Kluyveromyces lactis: one gene and its partners. Each later gene encodes a partner of the first gene's protein in a complex. Links are inferred from orthologs where the notes say so. Each region holds a gene or a part of one and is shown on either strand. Other genes may lie near its edges.

Evidence for each region.
Region 2: NUP170 (region 1) and NUP49 share a complex: the UniProt entries of both Saccharomyces cerevisiae proteins name them as parts of the nuclear pore complex. The link is inferred for Kluyveromyces lactis from reciprocal best matches to the Saccharomyces cerevisiae genes NUP170 and NUP49.
Region 3: NUP170 (region 1) and NUP145 share a complex: the UniProt entries of both Saccharomyces cerevisiae proteins name them as parts of the nuclear pore complex. The link is inferred for Kluyveromyces lactis from reciprocal best matches to the Saccharomyces cerevisiae genes NUP170 and NUP145.
Region 4: NUP170 (region 1) and NUP159 share a complex: the UniProt entries of both Saccharomyces cerevisiae proteins name them as parts of the nuclear pore complex. The link is inferred for Kluyveromyces lactis from reciprocal best matches to the Saccharomyces cerevisiae genes NUP170 and NUP159.

Annotation. Positions count from the first base shown.
Region 1 is NC_006041.1:1,829,263-1,832,668, reverse strand, and holds the end of NUP170 (Nup170p), read left to right. Parts: coding exon 1-1,923; downstream 1,924-3,406. Other genes in the region: ubiquitin-like protein ATG8, read right to left, coding at 2,598-2,972. UniProt on the Saccharomyces cerevisiae protein: Functions as a component of the nuclear pore complex (NPC).
Region 2 is NC_006042.1:2,088,389-2,092,876, reverse strand, and holds NUP49 (FG-nucleoporin NUP49), read left to right. Parts: upstream 1-2,183; coding exon 2,184-3,401; downstream 3,402-4,488. Other genes in the region: chromatin-binding exonuclease XRN1, read right to left, coding at 1-1,642; KLLA0_F22341g (uncharacterized protein), read left to right, coding at 3,911-4,488. UniProt on the Saccharomyces cerevisiae protein: Functions as a component of the nuclear pore complex (NPC).
Region 3 is NC_006041.1:1,685,479-1,690,768, forward strand, and holds the start of NUP145 (nucleocytoplasmic transporter NUP145), read left to right. Parts: upstream 1-2,068; coding exon 2,069-5,290. Other genes in the region: kinetochore-microtubule binding complex subunit SPC105, read left to right, coding at 1-1,738. UniProt on the Saccharomyces cerevisiae protein: Functions as a component of the nuclear pore complex (NPC).
Region 4 is NC_006042.1:329,430-334,956, reverse strand, and holds the start of NUP159 (FG-nucleoporin NUP159), read left to right. Parts: upstream 1-1,729; coding exon 1,730-5,527. Other genes in the region: porin POR1, read left to right, coding at 268-1,116. UniProt on the Saccharomyces cerevisiae protein: Functions as a component of the nuclear pore complex (NPC).

The DNA of each region.
Region 1 (3,406 bases):
TTAAACGAGTTCTTCCAATCATATGGTAATTCAATTACAACAATCACTAATATTTCTCCAATTAATGGAGAAAAGGTGGTGGATAAAGGAGAAGATGTTGCGCATCAGGCAGAAAATGTTGCTATGAACGCAGTTATCAAACTCCTTCAATCCATAAAGGAGTCACTTTCATTTTTGAACGTACTATTCGAAGAGAGTGAAGTAGATGGTTACGAAGGGCAATACTTAGCATTTGTTGACATTATGAAGTACTTGAATTTCGATATTCAATACGACTTAAGCAAGTTGAAATTCAAGGATATTTTCAATCCCAATGAACAAACCAAAAATTTAATAAGAGAGATTCTCTCCTCAATCATCAACAGAAGTATTACAAAAGGTGGATCTATTGAATACATCGCTACTGCACTTCAAGAACGCTGTGGATCGTTTTGTTCCACCGGTGATGTTCTTGGCTTTAGAGCTGTCGAGCACTTGAGAAAAGCAAAAGAAATAGGACTCAGAGATCAAGAAACACTCAACTATCACCTAACCAATGCAGCAAAGTTATTTGAAAGAATAGTTGATGATGTGTCTTTAGATAAGATAAAAGAGGCTGTAGGTATCATGTTGGAACTTAATTACTACCCAAAAACCGTCGAATTTTTGTTGAATATTGCCAATGCGATGGACAAGGGTAAATTGGCACTTCAATATGTTGCAGATGGATCTTTGGAACACGATGAAAGGAAAAAATACTACAATGCTAGAGTTTCGATCTATGAAATTGTGTTCGAAACTTTAATCAAAGTTGACCAACTAGCTGCTCTGCCTGAAAATGTTAACAATCAAGATATTCAAAAAACCCGCGATGAGGTTTACAACGTTACTTTAAAATATAACGACAAATTATTCCATTATCAAATGTATGATTGGTTGGTACAGCAAAAGTCTGAAGAAAAGCTTCTTCAGCTAGACTCAGATTTTATTCTACCATACTTAGAAGAAAAAGCAGCGAAATCCCTAGAAATTTCCAATCTTCTTTGGGTTTACCAATCCAAAAGATCGCATTTCTTGGAAGCAGCTCAAATTCTGTATTCATTAGCTATTTCGGATTTCGATATTCCTCTACAAAACAGAATTGAGTACTTGTCAAGAGCTAACGTTTTCTGTAATGGAGTCTCTCCGCCAAGCCAAAGGCAAGCCATGATTCAATTATCTGGCATGATAAAAGAAGTTGTCGATGTAGCAAGCATTCAAGATGAAATTGTCCGTGCTCTCAAGGATGACCTCAGGATTGATTCGACTGTCAGAAATGAAGCCTTGCAACAACTTGAAGGCAAAATTTTGACCGTGACTGAACTTTATAATGACTTTGCCGCACCATTGAGTTATTATGAAATTTGTCTGCTCATTTTCAAAGTCAGTGACTTTAGAAATCATGAGGAAATCATATCGAAATGGGAAGAGCTTTTCAGTTCTTTCAAGGAACATTTATCAGAGAACAATGCTACGGATGAACTGGAAAAAAGCACTACTTTCATTAGTCTAGCATCATCAACAGTGATTCGTGTTGGTAAGAATGTACGTACCAGTGAATTTGTGTTCCCAGTTGTTGATTTATTCCCACACATCTGTAGCCTAATATATGAGAACCTTCCAAAAGAACACATCAAAGCAGGTTCAATTGCATCTATTTTCATCCAAGCTGGCGTCTCATACGACCGAATGTACCATGTTCTCAAAGATTTAATTGAAACAACTACCAGCTCCAACGATATTTACGAACAAGAGATGGTTTGGCTGATTAAAGAATGGTATCACTCTGACAGAAAATTGAGAGATTTGATACCACTAGAAGAAATTCGTTCCTTCGACAAGTATTCAATTGAAAATGACCCATTGGAAAATTACAAAAAGCGCACAGGTGATAGTGTGTTTTGAGTTACTCTAACCTTTCAGCGAGATGGTAAAAAAAAGAACAGCTTTAGTTTAAAACGTCTGTTGTGGTGTTTATTTCCCTTTGTATACTATATTGATAAATAACATTTTCACCCCAATCTTAATAAACAAAACAACTAATATCAATATTGCTTTCTTATGATGTTGCGATAAGTCTTTGGTTATGGAAAGAATATATTAAACCGAATTTCGACCTGCAATCTGCTGAAGAGGTATATAAAATTGTATATTTATGAAGAACCTCTTTCGAAGTGAAAAAAAAAAGCCTAGAGATTTCATTATGGAACGGCAACATATGACTTCATCAGCAGGTATTATAAGCAACGCTTTGTCCAGATCTAGGGAACTGTTGCAGCTAGAAATATGAGAATAGGATAAATAGAAGGGAAAACATATCAGAAAGATTTCAAATACTGCTTCGGTATATATCTAGAGCAAAAGGTGTGGAAGAATAGAAAATAATAGCATCGTAGACATTCGACAATGCATTTCATCTTATCATCACTTCAATATTGTTATTCAGGTTCTTTCTTTTAGATCATCTTTTCAACAATATCTGGTTCAAAATTGTGCATTAGTTACTTGTTTTGCATCAAGCAGAACAACCTAATGGAATCATAAAAGAAAACTTAAAGGGAAGAAAGTTTAACTTAATCTCATTCCTCAGAAAACAGGGCATCGTCACCAAAAGTGTTTTCACTCGAATAGGATACATAAAGGAACCCGTCCTTATCCTTGTGTTGTTGGTAAATAGAAGACATTAAAGCTGCTGTTGGAGGTAAAGTATCATTGACAAAGATGAAAATAGCCTTTTCAGCAGGTAGCTTGATTCTCTTTCTAATTACATAAACAAATTGGCCAACAGTCAAATCTCCTGGCACCAAATATTTGCGTTTATCAATGTCTGGAATATCCGATTTGCCACCTCTTTCACAGATCACTGGAATACGGTTATGGAACTTTTGCACTATCCTTTCAGATTCAGCCTTTCTCTTTTCAAATGGGAACTCAGATTTGAATGCAGATTTCATTGCGTTTTAAAACTCTCTCCTATAATACGTAACACCGATAAAAATAATCAAACTCTCTTGAAATATTCTCCTGTCTCTATTTCAAACTAATAACCCGAAAAGATGTTTGTAACTTAACTTTCAAAAGTCTAGCTGATTTGTTCCAACTCTTGAATCGTGTTGTGTCTCTTTTTATCCGTCTTTCTGGTTCTTTCTCTCTCTCAAGAAAAAAACTTGCACGTAATAGCACTGTACTGCACTTTTCTTGCAAAACTCAAACAGATTACTGGGTAGCTAAGAAAAACGCTCTTTGTTTAGTTATCGATGATATGCGCCGCTTTGATCTTCGCGTGTGTTCCCTTTTTATACCCTTTCTGCTGTTTGGAAAATGACAAAACAAAAGTGTTCCCCCCTTAAACGGTTTGAGATGCCGTTGACCCTTAAGTCACGTGGGA
Region 2 (4,488 bases), on another chromosome or scaffold:
AGTAGTATAAAACCCATTGTAAACCTCCGACATAGTTTTCTGTCATTTCTTTTAGACTATCAGTATCATTGATGGAAAAATCTAATTTATCTTTATAGTATTGATCTTTCCACTCAACGAATCTCTCGCTATAAATTTCACGCTCTTCTTCTAATTCTTCTTCAGATGCAATAATAATACCTTGTTCATATTTCTTAATAGAACGTCTTGTTTCGTGAATACGGGCTTCATGCTCTTCATCTGTTTCTTGCACATTGATGGAGTCTAAATCCAACTTGAAGTAGTACAAATCTTTTGATTTAGAATGAGCAAGAATTAAACCCAAATCAAATGCGAATTCCTTCAAGAAATCCAGGTTGGCCCGAACCAATTCTTTATCCTCAAGAGGGAAAATTTCGAAATCGGCATCCTGTAATTCAGAAGTGACCTTCCGTTGAACGGTTTTCAATAACCATGGTTTTACGGCGCCAATCAATTTCTTTTGTTGTTTCATCAACAACTTTTTACCCATCCTAGTACGTTTACGCTCACCTTCCAAGGAAATATTTTCAAGTTGTTGATTGAACCATTCAACGTCAATATCTTTCTTCTCAAAGTTAAGGTATTCAAAATCGGACAAGTACTTCAACCAAATGGAAAATCTTGCCAAATTTATCTTACCTTGTTCATTAATGTAACCATCCATATGTTGGAGAGCTTCTTTAAAAGTTTGTAATAGCACAGGGAATGCACCTTTTTTCAAATGCAAATCGGGCAAATTTGGTAAGAAATCATTACCGATGGTAAATAATACAAAGATGAAATCATCTAATACTCTTTCAAAGTCGTATTCAAACTGCACAGAATCTGTTATTTCTTCGAACTCTAATGCCAAATATTCTCTCAAGATAGACAAATGCAACAAGAAGAAGTTCTGTGTTTCTAGAGTTTTCACAGAAGACGAACGTTTACCAAAAGTAACTTCTTCTCTTAATAAACAAAAGTGGTGATCATGGGTGGATAAACCTAGGATGATCAAATCAGCATCTAACCCGTAGATACAATGTCTTGTATTTGGATTGTAATCCTCTTGTGCTCTAATTGCTCTGATGTAATCCATGATCTTATGTTCACCTTCACCAGGAACCTCATGCCCGGAGAAAATAACCTTCACGTTCTGCCATCTGGTATCGTTGGTGATCTTGTCATGGATGAAATATTTCAAATTCTCGGTTAATTTTGCCATAAATTCTGTTCCTGGGGTAATAGCGTTGGAATCAAATGGCTCTCCCTTAGGCAACTCGTCACCATTTTCAATGGCCTTCTGCAAAGCCTTTTCGGCATCCATGGCAGTTCTGAATCTACGAGCTCTTTGTTGGTTCATCTTTGCTCTTGGGGCCACACCATCGATTGCCATATAAAATGTCTGTTTTGGTTTAATAGTATGGAAAAGATGATCAATATAACTGAAAATTTTGGAATAAACTTCTTCCTCTGATAGTCTTGAATTCACCTCGCTACCATCACCATGCGTACAATTATGCAAAATAGAATTCATATCCAAGTACAAATTGTCGAACTCTGGAATCTGTGATCCATCGATCAATTGAGAAATTTGAGGCCATCTCTCAGAGATGAAATGAAAGAATTTTGGAATACCCATTTTTAGTTAAGCCACAAACCGTAATTAATTGAACACTTTCTGAGGTTTGCTTTACTGACTTTTTTCCTCCAACAATAGAAAAGATCAACAACAACTGGGATTGGATAGTACCAGTAGTATACGTTGCCGAACAATGAGTAACCACTTTTAGTGAATTGTTATAATATACCCTGATATGGATGAAAGACCCTGAAAGTACATTAACCAAAGCTACTGTTTAGTAACATAATCGTTAAGGTAATTTGGTAATTCTTTCCAATGTTCAATCGGAATATTTTTCTTGGTGGTGGCAAAATTTTTTGAGACGAGGTTTATGGGTTACCCGGATCCATAAGTTCAAGCTTTTTTTTCTTGTTTTATACTCTTTGATGGAAGAGTTGAAAACATTTTGAATATGGAAACTGAGAAAGTAAACAGATGAGGTTAAAAAGAAAGATGGAGAGAGCAGAATTGAGACACCAATTGATACTGAACAGTAAGTTGAATTAACTGAATTTACGGCGTGTAAATATCTAATACTCTTATTACTGATAGAAACGAAATGTTTGGCCGTTCTTCTTCTACAGGTCCTCCAGTAGGACCAAGCACAGGAGGAGGATTATTTGGGAATACGGGCAACCAGCAAAGCACTAGCGGTGGTCTTTTTGGTAATAACAATGCCACATCAGGTAACACTGGAGGAGGGTTATTTGGAAACAATAACAATACAGCGACACAGACTGGCGGAGGATTATTTGGCAGTAATCCAGCAGGCACCAACAACAATACGAACCAAACCGCAGGAGGACTTTTCGGAAGTTCTAATAATACAGCCACTGGCTCCACAGGTGGCCTATTTGGTAACTCAGGAGCCGGGTCTGGCGGAGGCTTATTCGGGAATAAGTCAGCACAACCACAGACCACTGGTTTTGGAAGCTCTGGAACTGGAGGAGGATTATTTGGATCCAAACCAGCACAACCACAGACTACCGGTTTCGGAGGCTCTGCAACTGGTGGAGGATTGTTTGGATCCAAACCAACTACCGGAGGCCCATTCGGAAATCAACAACAGCAATCCCAACAATCTGGTTTAGGAATGTTTGGACAAACACAAAATCAATTTCAACAGCCACCACAACAACAGATACAACAGACTCAACAGAGTGCCATTAATTTCATTAACCAATTAGCTATCACGCCGATGACCAAGATATCGGAGCTTCCGATTCAAATTCGTCAAGAAATCGAACAATTGGACCAATTCATTAGAACGCAAGTGTCTTTATCCAAACATCTTGAAGCTGATCTACAAGATCAAACTGAACTATTGGATTCAATCCCTCGTGACATCAAGTATCTACAAAAATTGCATTTCAACGCAACAAGATCACTATCATCAGATTTGAAACGAATCGATGCCATCAAGACACTAGTGGATAAAGATGTTAAACAATTGGAAAATTTTGCTATAATGTTGCAACAACTAGTCAGTAAGGGATTCAAAATATCAAACGTTGAGATAGATAAGTTCTTCCAGGAAAAATTAATCACATACAAACACAAATTAAATGACTACAACGACACTCTAAGCAATATTGACGACGCAGTGTCAGGTCTAGAGAATGATCTCTTTGGGAACGATTCATCCGAAGATGATGATACCAAGGTCGGTGTTAACATTATCGTCAGCGTTCTAATCGAAGAGTTCAAACTATTCATGGATACAGCTGAAAGAATAGCAGAACTGCATCAGAAGTGTAAAGAAATAATAGTTAAATAGTCGATATTATTCTTTTAATACTATAAAAAAAGAAAGCGTTCAAGAACATATTACCTATTGATGCAGATCACTAACTCCTGCACATGCACTGCACCTGCACCGCATCTGCCACTTGTCTCTTCGCAGTCTTCTCTTCTCAGGCTCCCTTTATCTTCCCTTCCTTATTTAGGTCAATGAGTTGTGAAAAAAGGGAATTTGATACGACAAATATAAAAGGAATAAGGATTAAAAAATGGTTAACAAGGAGTAACAGTTTTCCCGGAAACGAAAATGTGAAACAAAGAACAAAGGAAAGGCGTCCTGGTTTTGTGATTATACTCAAGAAATATATATAGGACTGATAAGAATTTTAGAACGTTGCTGGCAACTAACTATCATTATTGGAATATCAGAGACATATTAAGTGTGACATTTTAGTATTAATTCTGTCAGTATAAACTTATTGTAGATCAAGCTTCAGGCGTAAAATCAAGGAGCTAGGAGATTTTTTTTTTGATTAAAGCGAAGCGATGGCTGAAGTAAAAGATAGATGTACATCAGTGGATGGAAATGACACTTGGGGGGTCGTTGGTGGTGTGGACGGTACATATTCCATCAGGGATCTTGACGCTGGTGAAATGGACGATATTTTATCGGTGACAAGCAGCGACTTAGAGGATTCCGCAGTGTTGCAGAATAAGAAAGGGAGCGTTAATCATAGTAACAATACTACGTCGTTATCCACGCCACTGGATTCATTATCCAACGTTGCGCCTGCAAAGACAACAGCAAGGAGCAATACATGGACAGCGCGCTTGACGAAACTTCAATCCGTTATTCTTGGAATTTCGTTGGTGGCCGGTCTCATCAACATGGGCCTCTTGACCGTTTTCATCCGTGATATTAACAGTTTTACTAAAAACAACGAGTTAGAGTGTAGTTCACTAGCTTTCAAGGACAGATTGGCTTGTCAATTTGATGCATACATGGGCCATAGGGCCCATGCATACGAAGCAGCATACGTGAAGAAAACGCCACTTCCATCCACTTTAGCATCATATTACCCTAGCTTCCCTTCTCTTGAGCAATATTACGAAGTATGTCAGAA
Region 3 (5,290 bases), about 140 kb from region 1:
TAAGATACCAGCAATTACAGAGGAAACAATGGAATTTACAAACGTGCAGGCTCCTCTGGAGATGCGAGAGTCACAGATAGTTTCTTCAACTCAACTAGAACCAACTCAACTCCCGCAGTCAAAAAGAAGGAAATTATCTAACGGTGGTTATCAGTCTCCGGTCAAATTGCAGGTACCAGTGCAAGTGCAAGAGACCCCTGAACAAAAAGAGAATATAGATGCGGAGCTCACAGAGATGGAACGATTATCGCCAATTCCGTTGGCAACAAATTCTTTACCAAAACCAAAAAATGTCGGCTCTCCCATACTATCCAAAACAAGTAAACATGTTCTATCAGACACTCAAAGTCAATCGGGACCAATCTCCTTGCAGACATTTTTTGATGCTGCTAATATAAAATTCAACGTTGATACCCAAATAAACGAATTTCAAATCGATCTTAAGAGTACGAATAACATCGAACATGTCCCATCTAATATAATATACCAAGCGTTATATTGTAAGATTCCAATATTAGAGATTCAAGCTTTCACCGCAAAAGAACTAACCCGAAGAATTCTACAATCAAGGAATCTCTTAAAGAGTCTTCGAGAGCAGATTGCATCCAACGAACCCCCCAGGTTGATAAAAGAGTATTTTGAGGCAGATACTGATACCCGTTATGCTATTAACGAAAAGTTAGAATTAGTAACCATAATGGCTAGATTACAATCTGAAAAAGTCTGGTTTGAGTGGAGATCACAACATTTGAAAGGAATTAAAACAGTCCTGGAAGAAAATATAGCTATCTTGGTGGATGAAAATGCCCAGATCATGAAATACATGAATGAAATAAATGACGTGAAAATAAGAGTTAGTGACATCAAACAGGTGTTAATGAAAGAACTTGATGTTCTTCGGCAGCACAACGATGTTTTTAGTAACAAGAAAGAGAACATAACGACTCTCCTGAAAGTGAACAAATTGAAAGGAGACTTGAGGGAGAACATGCTAAAGGTGTCAGACTTGAACCAGCTGACCACTAAAAAAGATCAACTTACCCAAAAAATACAAGATGCAAAATTGGAGATGAGTAAAGTGAACGAAGAGATTGCTCAACTTCGACAGGACTTGAAACAAAGCAAAGTTTGCACAGAATATGATGTGGCAAAGCTTAAACTAGTCCATCAGCTTTACCAAAGCATTTCTGGTATAAAGTTCAGAAAGTTAGTTGGTCCAGTCCTATCTGTATCATTACATGACGACAAAGTTATTGTGACAGCTGATCTTTCAAAAATTGATCAACCGTCATGTATTTCATTCAGTATTAGAGAAGAACGAATAGACCAATTTGAAAGAGAATTTATAAACTGTTGGATCAACTCTTGCCAGCGAACCTTCATAAATGGACTACAGTGCATATCAAGTTTGCAACGTCAACTGATAGATCTTTCAATTGTCATTTCAGAATTCAAAAAATTAAAACTCGTATTCCCGGCAACCGTCAATGCCCCATCACAGAATTCTCAGATCAAATATGTCACATTCCAGCATTTGGACTATAAATATCATTGCAAAGTAGCCCTTTCTTTGCCTATGGAAAGGTTTATTGATTTGATATGTCACTCTAAAAATGCGACCATCAATGTTAATATTATCTATGGCGAAGAAAAAACAGCAAGAAATCTAACGTCTAATCTCATAAAGAAATATGAAAAGGTATTTAAATGGCTCTCCAATTGTAATATAGCTCTTTGATATGGATATCCGAGCTTTTGTAGCGCAAGTTTTAGGCATTACGCAGTATATAGTTTCGTACGATATTTCTTTAAATTTCTCTCGAATGGCAATATTCCAAAAAATTGTTATTCTATAACATTTAAACAGTAAGATGAGTGTAAACAAAACACCTTTTGAACTCTAACAAGTGCACTACTTGGCTATCATTGATCGCAGAGCTTCTAAAAACCAATTCCATAGCTGGTGTTCATTGCTGCAGACGAAATTTCTCAGTTTTTTGTTACTGCTGTCATTTTTGAATCTGTACAGTTTAAACATCATCATCATAAATTCAACAACAAGTTGATTATGTTTGGTAATAACAAAGCGCCTGGTTCGTTATTCGGCAACGCGAACACCTCAACACCTACAACTTCTACACCAGCGAACAATGGGGTTTTGAATGGAAAACCCAATACTGGCACATTGTTTAGTGCTAATACACTCTCCACGCCGAGCCCTGGAAACCCAACAGGATTTGGCAATGCTCAGAACAACAACAACAAGCCTGGGTTGAATCTTTTTGGAAACAACAATGCTTCCCAGAATACACCACAGACGAATTCTCTATTCCAGCCTAATAACGCCGCTGCATCAACGCCCAACACATCATTATTTTCTGGCCCAGGGTCGAATGCCCAGCAGAACAATGGTGCTGGCAAGCTATTCGGAAATTCTGGTGGACAACAGACAGCTACTGGTATCTCATTCGGAAATAACCCCAGTGCGACAACAAACAATACGTTCCAATCAAACGGATTAAATACGCAACAGAGTGGTGGTTTATTTGGTAATAAATCAAACAATGGTGGGTCACTTTTCGGAAATACTCCATCGCAAACTAATAGTCTATTTTCTAATAATACCACGAACACGGCGTCAACAGTCCCAAAGACTTCACTGTTTGGAAATTCATCAACACAAGGTTCAGGGAGCTTATTCTCGTCCAGCAAACCAACTACAAATTCAACAGGCTTGTTCAATGTTTCTCAACTACAACAGCCACAGCAACCTGGCCAACCCCCAACGAACAACCCATACGGTTTGCAATTAAGTCCAAATCCTGTGCTGTCAATGCCAGAATCTATTACTACATCCCTGAGTAACGAGAGAAAGCCTGTCTCAGACTCGAAACAAAATAGAAAATTTTCAACTGCATCATCAGTGATCAGCAACAATATATTACCTCCCACAGGCAATTCAACACTGATAGGGAAGCTAACTTCAAGACTTAAGAATTTGAAGAGCAGAGAAACAACACATGGTTTGTTCTCCCCATCAAATAAAAACTTAGCCCAACAGGATACTTTCTCGGCACTTTCAAGAGATGAGAGTAAGGAAAAAGGGAAGAATATTAACAATAAGACAAACTCACTGGCTTCTTATTTTAACCAGGACGTTTCAAGCATGAAAAAATTAACCATTGATACAGACAGAAGCGCTGCCAAAAAGATGAAACTCTTTAACGGTCACTCTTCCGCTACCATAATGAAAGATATGGACGAGAAAGATCATAAGATTAGTATACCAAGGAATGATAAACTTCTTTTTTCAGCACATCCTTCAGAAACTAGTCCAACAGAGCCAACTTCGGAAGTCTGTCTGGATGAAGAACACAAAATAACGAATAAAGCAACTGACTATTGGTGCTCACCTACTATCGAACAATTAGAGCAACTTACGGAAAACCAGCTCACGGTTGTGCCCAATTTTGTGATTGGTCGCAAAAACTTTGGTTCCATCAGTTTTGACTATGAAGTTGACTTAACTGCATTTATGGATGATTTTGAAGAACTATTCGGAAGAACAATAATTTTTAATGAGAATAGAACCGTGGAAGTCTATCCTGATACCGAAAATAAACCGGATGTTGGTTATGGTGTCAATGTACCTGCTACAATAACTTTGGAAAATGTTTATCCGATCGATAAAAAAACAAAAGAACCCATTAAAGACAACTCGAAAATTGCTGAAGTTCAATATTTTGTCAAGCGTTTAAGGAATATGAAAGAAATGGAATTCATTTCATATAACCCATTTGGTGGAATTTGGACTTTTAGAGTTAAACATTTCAGTGTTTGGGGAATGGTCAATGAAGAAGATATGGAGGTGGATGCTGAAGAAGCAGAAAGAATAAACGCCGAGGAAATAAGAGACAGACCTCTGGCCTTTCCCAAGCGTCGCCACAGTGTGAAGAAGTCTAGCACGTCCCTTGAAGCGGAGGTACCAAGCAATGCAGACCTCACAGCAGCAGAGGCTCTTGCAATGGAGAAAGAAGTACTAGATTTGGTTCCAGTACTATCCGACTCTGTTGACCAAGACATGTCACTTATTATCAAGGAAAAACCTTACGAACCTTCTGATTTAGACGAAGATGATTTGAATATCCTCGAGGCTGCACCTAAACTTGTTACATCATCGAACTGGTTGCAACAATTACAATTAGCAGGTACTTCCAAACAGTCTGTGTATTCCAAGCCACTTTTACTCAAAAACACGCAAGGTAATTCTTTGGACGATATCTTGTTCCCTTCATTTAAGAAAGATTTATTGACATACCAATCTGTTAAAAGAGAAAGAAGAATCAACTCACATATGTGGTTTGCGAAGTTTAATATTAACGGGCAATTATTGCTCAAAGATCCATCACAGTTGTCAGGCTGTAAGCAGATCGTGTTTCAGTCCAACTTGCCAATAAATAAATCTTCTTTTGACAATGTGTTCGCCTCTTATCTGAACACATCCATAGTCAACTCCAGACCAAATGGTTATCCTCTTGTTGGGAAATGTTCCTTACAGTTCGATAATCTTGCTTCTGCATATTCTGATGTCCCAAATGAAGACAAAATATTGAAGTTAGCATCCATTTTGTTTGATCCTCTTTCCCTTCCATACGCTGTCAATTCCCCAGAAGTTGAAAAAGTTCTTATTAAAAAACAACGGCATGCAAAGCTCTGTGGATGGATAGTCGATGAAACAAGGGCTGAGATTGATTCTATGCTATCCACTGCTTCTGATATTCAGAAAATACTTCTTTTCCTCTCTGTCAACGACATTGTAAATGCTTCAAAGACGGCTATAATTTCCAAAAACAAACATTTATCTGTTTTGATAACGTTACTGGGGTCCAATGATCCAATTGTTCGTGAAATCGCGCAACTACAGTTAACTAAATGGAAATCTTTAGGCTCTATAGTGGATCCAACAGTCATTAGTATCTATCAACTACTCACTGGCAATCCTTTCGCTTCTACTGCGTTGGTAAATGAGAGTAACAAGTTTTCGCGGTTAGTGAATTTAGGTTTACAAGTATATTATGGAGATATCGATTCATTGACTCTAGAAGATTTGATTATGAATGCTATATCAAATCCATTTGTTGATACATCGTCTGTTTCAACTTTTGAAAACTTGTCAATGAATATTATGAAGTTATTTGCTTGCCCAACTATCCCAGTTGAGCAACTTTTAGATGAATTGAGATCGCATTCGGAGATATTCGATGTTCGGCTCTGTTGGTTCTTTACGCAT
Region 4 (5,527 bases), on another chromosome or scaffold:
AAAAGTTCACATTGTCATTATTTGTATTTATAAAATCGATATTATATATAAATGAAAGAGATCGAGATATTTTTTTTTGGGAAATTTGCGAAAAATCTTGGATGCACACCGAATTAAAATGGTGTCTGTCTCTTGCTTTTGTGTTATGTAGTAGTTCCTTCTTGGTTTTAGCGGTTGACTGAACTCTAATTGATTCACATTTAGATCAATCGCACTTCCGAAAGCTTGCTTCCGCCCTCTAACAAAAAATAACTTCAAAGATTTACAATGGCTCCTCCATTCTTTTCTGATATTTCCAAGGACATCAATGGGTTGTTGAACAAGGAATTCTTCCACGCTACCCCAGCTTCTGTTGACGTTAAGACCACTGCTCCAAACGGTGTTGCTTTCACTGTTAAGGGTAAAACTTCTCCAAAAGATGGCTCAATTGCTGCTAACGTTGAAGTTAAGGCCTCTGACAAGTCTACTGGTTTGACTTTCACCCAAGGTTGGAACAACGCCAACACTTTGGACACCAAGATCGAATTGGCTGAATTGACTCCAGGCTTGAAGACTGAATTGATCACTTCTGGTGTTCCAGGTGTCTCTAAGGCTGCTAAGTTGAACGTTAACTTTGTTCAACCTTTGTTTGCTGCTAGAGGTTTCTTCGATTTGTTGAAGGGTCCATCCTTCGTCGGTGACTTGACCTTGGCTCACGAAGGTTTCGTTGGTGGTGCTGAAGTTGGTTATGACATCTCTGCTGGTGCCGTCTCCCGTTACGCTTTGGCTTTGGGTTACAACGCTTCTGGTGCTTATTCCGTTGGTTTGTCCGTCAACAACGCTCAATTGATCACCGCTTCCTTCTTCCAAAAGGTTTCCCCAATCTTGCAAGTCGGTGCTAAGGCTGCTTTGAACCCTCAAGCTGGCTCTAATGTCAACATTGAATTCGCTTCCAAGTACGCTTTGGACGCCGTTTCTCAAGTTAAGGCTAAGGTTGCTGACTCCGGTATCGTCGCCTTGTCCTACCAACAAATATTGAGACCAGGTGTCACTCTAGGTATTGGTGCTTCTTTCGACGCTTTGAAGTTGGCTGAACCAGTCCACAAGTTGGGTTGGTCTCTATCGTTCGCTGCTTAAATGCATACTTAGTAATTTTACACAAGTGTTAAAAAGAAGTGTTACTTTTTTCTAAGTTTATGTTATTTTGCTTTGTCCAATGGATCACCAGCCTAGGTTATCAATTTTGAAATGATTCACATTCAACTAAAGTATCATTCTTCTTGGCGTTCCATTTGATACCGATATATATATATATTGCCTTTCATTTTGTTCGCTTTTTTTTCAGAACAACAATATCCGCTTTGTTTTCATTACAGATATGGCCTCAATTACAATGTTAACGCCTACTTCTTTCGAAGATACTTACCTAACTAAATACGTATTCTTTAATGACCATCTAAAAAATTTTATATCTCAAAACATTCATGTCATAGTAAAGACAATAAAACATGAACACTAACCTCATACTGATTTCCGGATCACGTGATTGATAATTTCCTTCTTTTTGGAACTTTGTTTACTTCAAAGCTATCATCAAAAAGCTTCAAACCTGTACAAGCACTGAACATTGCAACTGATGCCCATTGAAATTCAAGGTTTACAAATTAATAAGCAGCTGAGGTTTATATTAATACACTAACGGATTGAAACTACTACTGTCGGCACAGATAAAAGAACACATACAGAATCAATGACGTCCTCTGTGGTTGATGCGTTGAATGTTGAAACTACTGAGAGCTTGGGATTCAAGTTTTTATTCTCTAAACAAATTGTTCCAGGCTTCAATGAGGATTTGCCATTCTCAAAACTGGCTAATGCTTCCATACATCCGTTGAAAAAATTACTAGCTGTTGCTTCTTCCAAGACTGTGTCTGTATATGATCTGCAATCTGTCCGTGATGAGTCCTTCATCACTCTAAATACGAAAGAGTTCACGGCGAAAGTAGTGGGCGTTTTTTTTGTGGCAGAGAGTTTGGCTACGGTCCTAGAAGATGGTTCAGTATGGGTTACCGAATTGGACCAATTCGCCTGGGAACAATACTGGGACGGTAATGGTGTCAATGAAGTCATTTGTTCTGTAATTTTCCAAGGGAATGTACTTCTTGCGAGTAACGCTAATGTCGTGTTTAAAATATCCTTATCGCAAAAGCATTCTTCCGAACAGTTACATTCAATCACAGGTTGCATCGCAATTGACACTTTGAAACATCAACTTTATGTTTTACACAAAAATGGTTCTATAGCTGTACTGGATGAACAGTTTAACGTCACATCCTCTATTGAAAAGCCATCTCTCGATGAACCTAACGAACCGTTGTCCATAAACGCTTTGTCAGAAAGCAGTTTACTCGTATCGTACGGCGAACCGGTCGATGCCTCGGAAGAAGATATCATGTACGATTTAACCGTATATTTTGTCAATGTCAATACTAAATCTTTTACTCCTTCCATGGATATCGCGCCTCCCTATTCAACAGTCAAAAGAAATCCTTCATACTACTCTCAAACATTGTATCAACTCGCTCAGCAGCTACCACATCTATTCGTTATAGGATCATCGTGTGCATCAGAGCTATCGATTGCCACACCGAACGTGATGTATAAACCGGACCAAGATGCTGCTTGTGCAATTCTTCCAATCAACCCTGAAACAGATAATGATACACAACCCATTGGGATGGCCCTAGATGTATTTTCCAGTGGTACTGTGTATGAGCCTTGTTCCGGAGTAGAGGCTGCTGACAATCTACCGATATTATATGTCCTCACCAATCTTGGGGAACTATTTTGTTGGGCTTTATTCCATCACTCTGCTTTACAAAACTCGAGTTTCACGCTAGAACCAACCAAAACTCAGTATGTACAGTCTTTCGAAATCTTATCTCATAAAATAGAAAGTGGTTCTTCTTCAATGGAAAAGGAAAAAGTTACTTTAATTTCTCCCCAAGACACTAAGAACACAATAACTGAAGTAAGAAAGGTTCCTGAACAATCGTCATTTTTTGAAACTACAAATTCCTTCGCTAAAGGTTTTTCGTTCACTCCGAAGAACATGACGGATAGTACAAATGCTGAGTCTGAGGGCTCTCAAAATCCTTTGCTGTCATCTGGTTCATCTCCTGCATTTGGAAAACCTGCCTTTGGCCAAGCAACATTTGGCCAAGTAACATCTAGCCAAGCAACACCTGGCCAATCAGCATTCGGTCAACCAGCATTCGGTCTACCAACTTTCGGCAAACCTGTATCTAGTCAACCAACGTCTGGACAATCAGCATTCGGTCAACCAGCATTCGGGGAGCCAGCGTTTGGGAAACCGGCATCTAGTCAACCAACATCTGGACAATCAGCAGTCGGTCAACCAGCATTCGGTCAACCAGCATTCGGGGAGCCAGCGTTTGGGAAACCGGCATCTAGTCAACCAACATCTGGACAATCAGCATTCGGCCAAGCAGCATTCGGTCCACCAACTTTCGGTAAACCTGCATCTAGTCAACCAACGTCTGGACAACCAGCATTCGGACAACCAGCATTCGGCCAACCTGTATCTGACCAATCGGCGCCCAGTAAACCAGCGTTTGGCAAACCAACATTTGGAAGTACATCATTTGGTACCCAATCTCAAACTAATACCACTTCACCCTTGTCCGAAGAGGCAGAGACGTCATCTGTCTTTGGAACGCCAAGTTTTGGCTCCACATCTTTCGGAATACAAGGAGCTAATGTTACCTCTCCATTCGGAACCAACACAAAAATTTCATCAGAGTCGTCTTTTGGAAAATCGCTCTTTGGAACTTCTCAGTTTGGCAGCGACAGCGCTGTTACCAACCCTGCACCGAATTCATTCGCTACATCTGCGAAATTGTCTTCACCATTTTCTGCCTTTGCTACAGACCAAAAGACCATAAATCCATTCGAAACTCAGACTTCTGATCCATTCGGCCACTTGAATTCTAAAAAAGAAGACACTAAGTCGTTCAACTTTACTGGTTTCGGTGAATCTATATCAGAAGCTAACCACAGTTTGCCATCCGTCACTCAAGATTCTTTGAATTCGAAAGAAGTCAGCGATTCGACGATCGAAAACGATCAATCTGAAGTGCCTAGTCCAGCTAATGATTCGAGCATTTCAGAAGATCAAGACGATATCGAATCTAACATTGTATCCTCTACCGATGAAAGTGATTCCTTATACGGAGAGGACAGGGAAATATATGATAATGATAGATCTGATATACACATCGAAGCCTCTTCAAAACCTTCTTCAACTGTTTTGAACTCAAACAGTGACATAGAAGAGGATGAAGCTGAGCAAAGCAACGAAGAACAAGCAAAAGTGGAGACCAAAGATGGGCAAGAAGAAGAAGAAGAAGAAGAAGAAGAAGAAGAAGAAGAAGAAGAAGAAGAAGAAGAAGAAGAAGAAGAAGAAGAAGAAGGAGAAGAAGAAGAAGAAAAGGAGGAGGGAGAGGAAGAGGAGAAGGAGCAGCAAGCGCAAGATGAAGAACAAGTGAAAGATGATACTAAAGATGTATCAAAGGAGAAAAAGCAAGAAGAAGACAAAGGAAATGATAAGCAGGTCAAAGGTGATCTGCTCACTGAAGGATCTTTCCCATCGGCGGAGAGCACAACCCCTGTTGCTGCGTCTTACGTTACTGAGGAAGATGACACCAGATCGTCTGTTGCTTCTTTTACCGATAGGATAAAGAAAGCGGCTAACCTCTCAACGGAGAATATTGCCAATCCATTCATGAAATCCACAGCAGTTGAAAACAAAGATTCCTCACCTTTTTCGGGCTTCACAAATTCCTTATCCAAAGATACAGGAAAGGCTCCCGCATTTTCCTTTGCCAATCTCAAGAAGGATGGTTCTGAAATTACCTCACCACTGTCTAATGTCAATTCTATTAGCAACGAAAGTGTTATGAGAGAGCCAGAACCAGAATTAAAACAGAAAACTGGTGATGAGCCGGACCCCGAAGTGGCAACTCCCTCTACTAACCTCGCAAGTTCAGAACAGAAAAAGGAAGCACTTTCAAAGGATCAAGAAATTGTACCATCTTCAACTGTCAGTCCAGAATCTGGTAGCGTCTCTTCTTCACCAGTTGTGGTAGATTATCCTCCAGTCAAAATGAGTAAATCATCCGGTACTACTACAAAAGAATATGTTTCACAGCATGTGCAAGCGAGTGTACCTGTAGGAAGCGCTTCCACTCAAAGTCTTACTAAAGAAAGTGCAGACTTTACTTTACAAGCCTTTGAAAATGATGAGCAATATATAGCTGAAAGGTATCTTCCTGAAATGCCTAGTGCTTTCTATTCCACTGCTGAACTTAAAGAATTCAGTACAATATCTTCCGATGAAGTTGTACAGGCCGTTGAAAAAACAAATGCTCAAGTTTTAGCAAACATTCAAGTGTTACGCTCAAATATCGACAACATTGGGAAGTTTATAGGTGACCATTCCCAAAATTTATTCAAACGTACTGAGAAA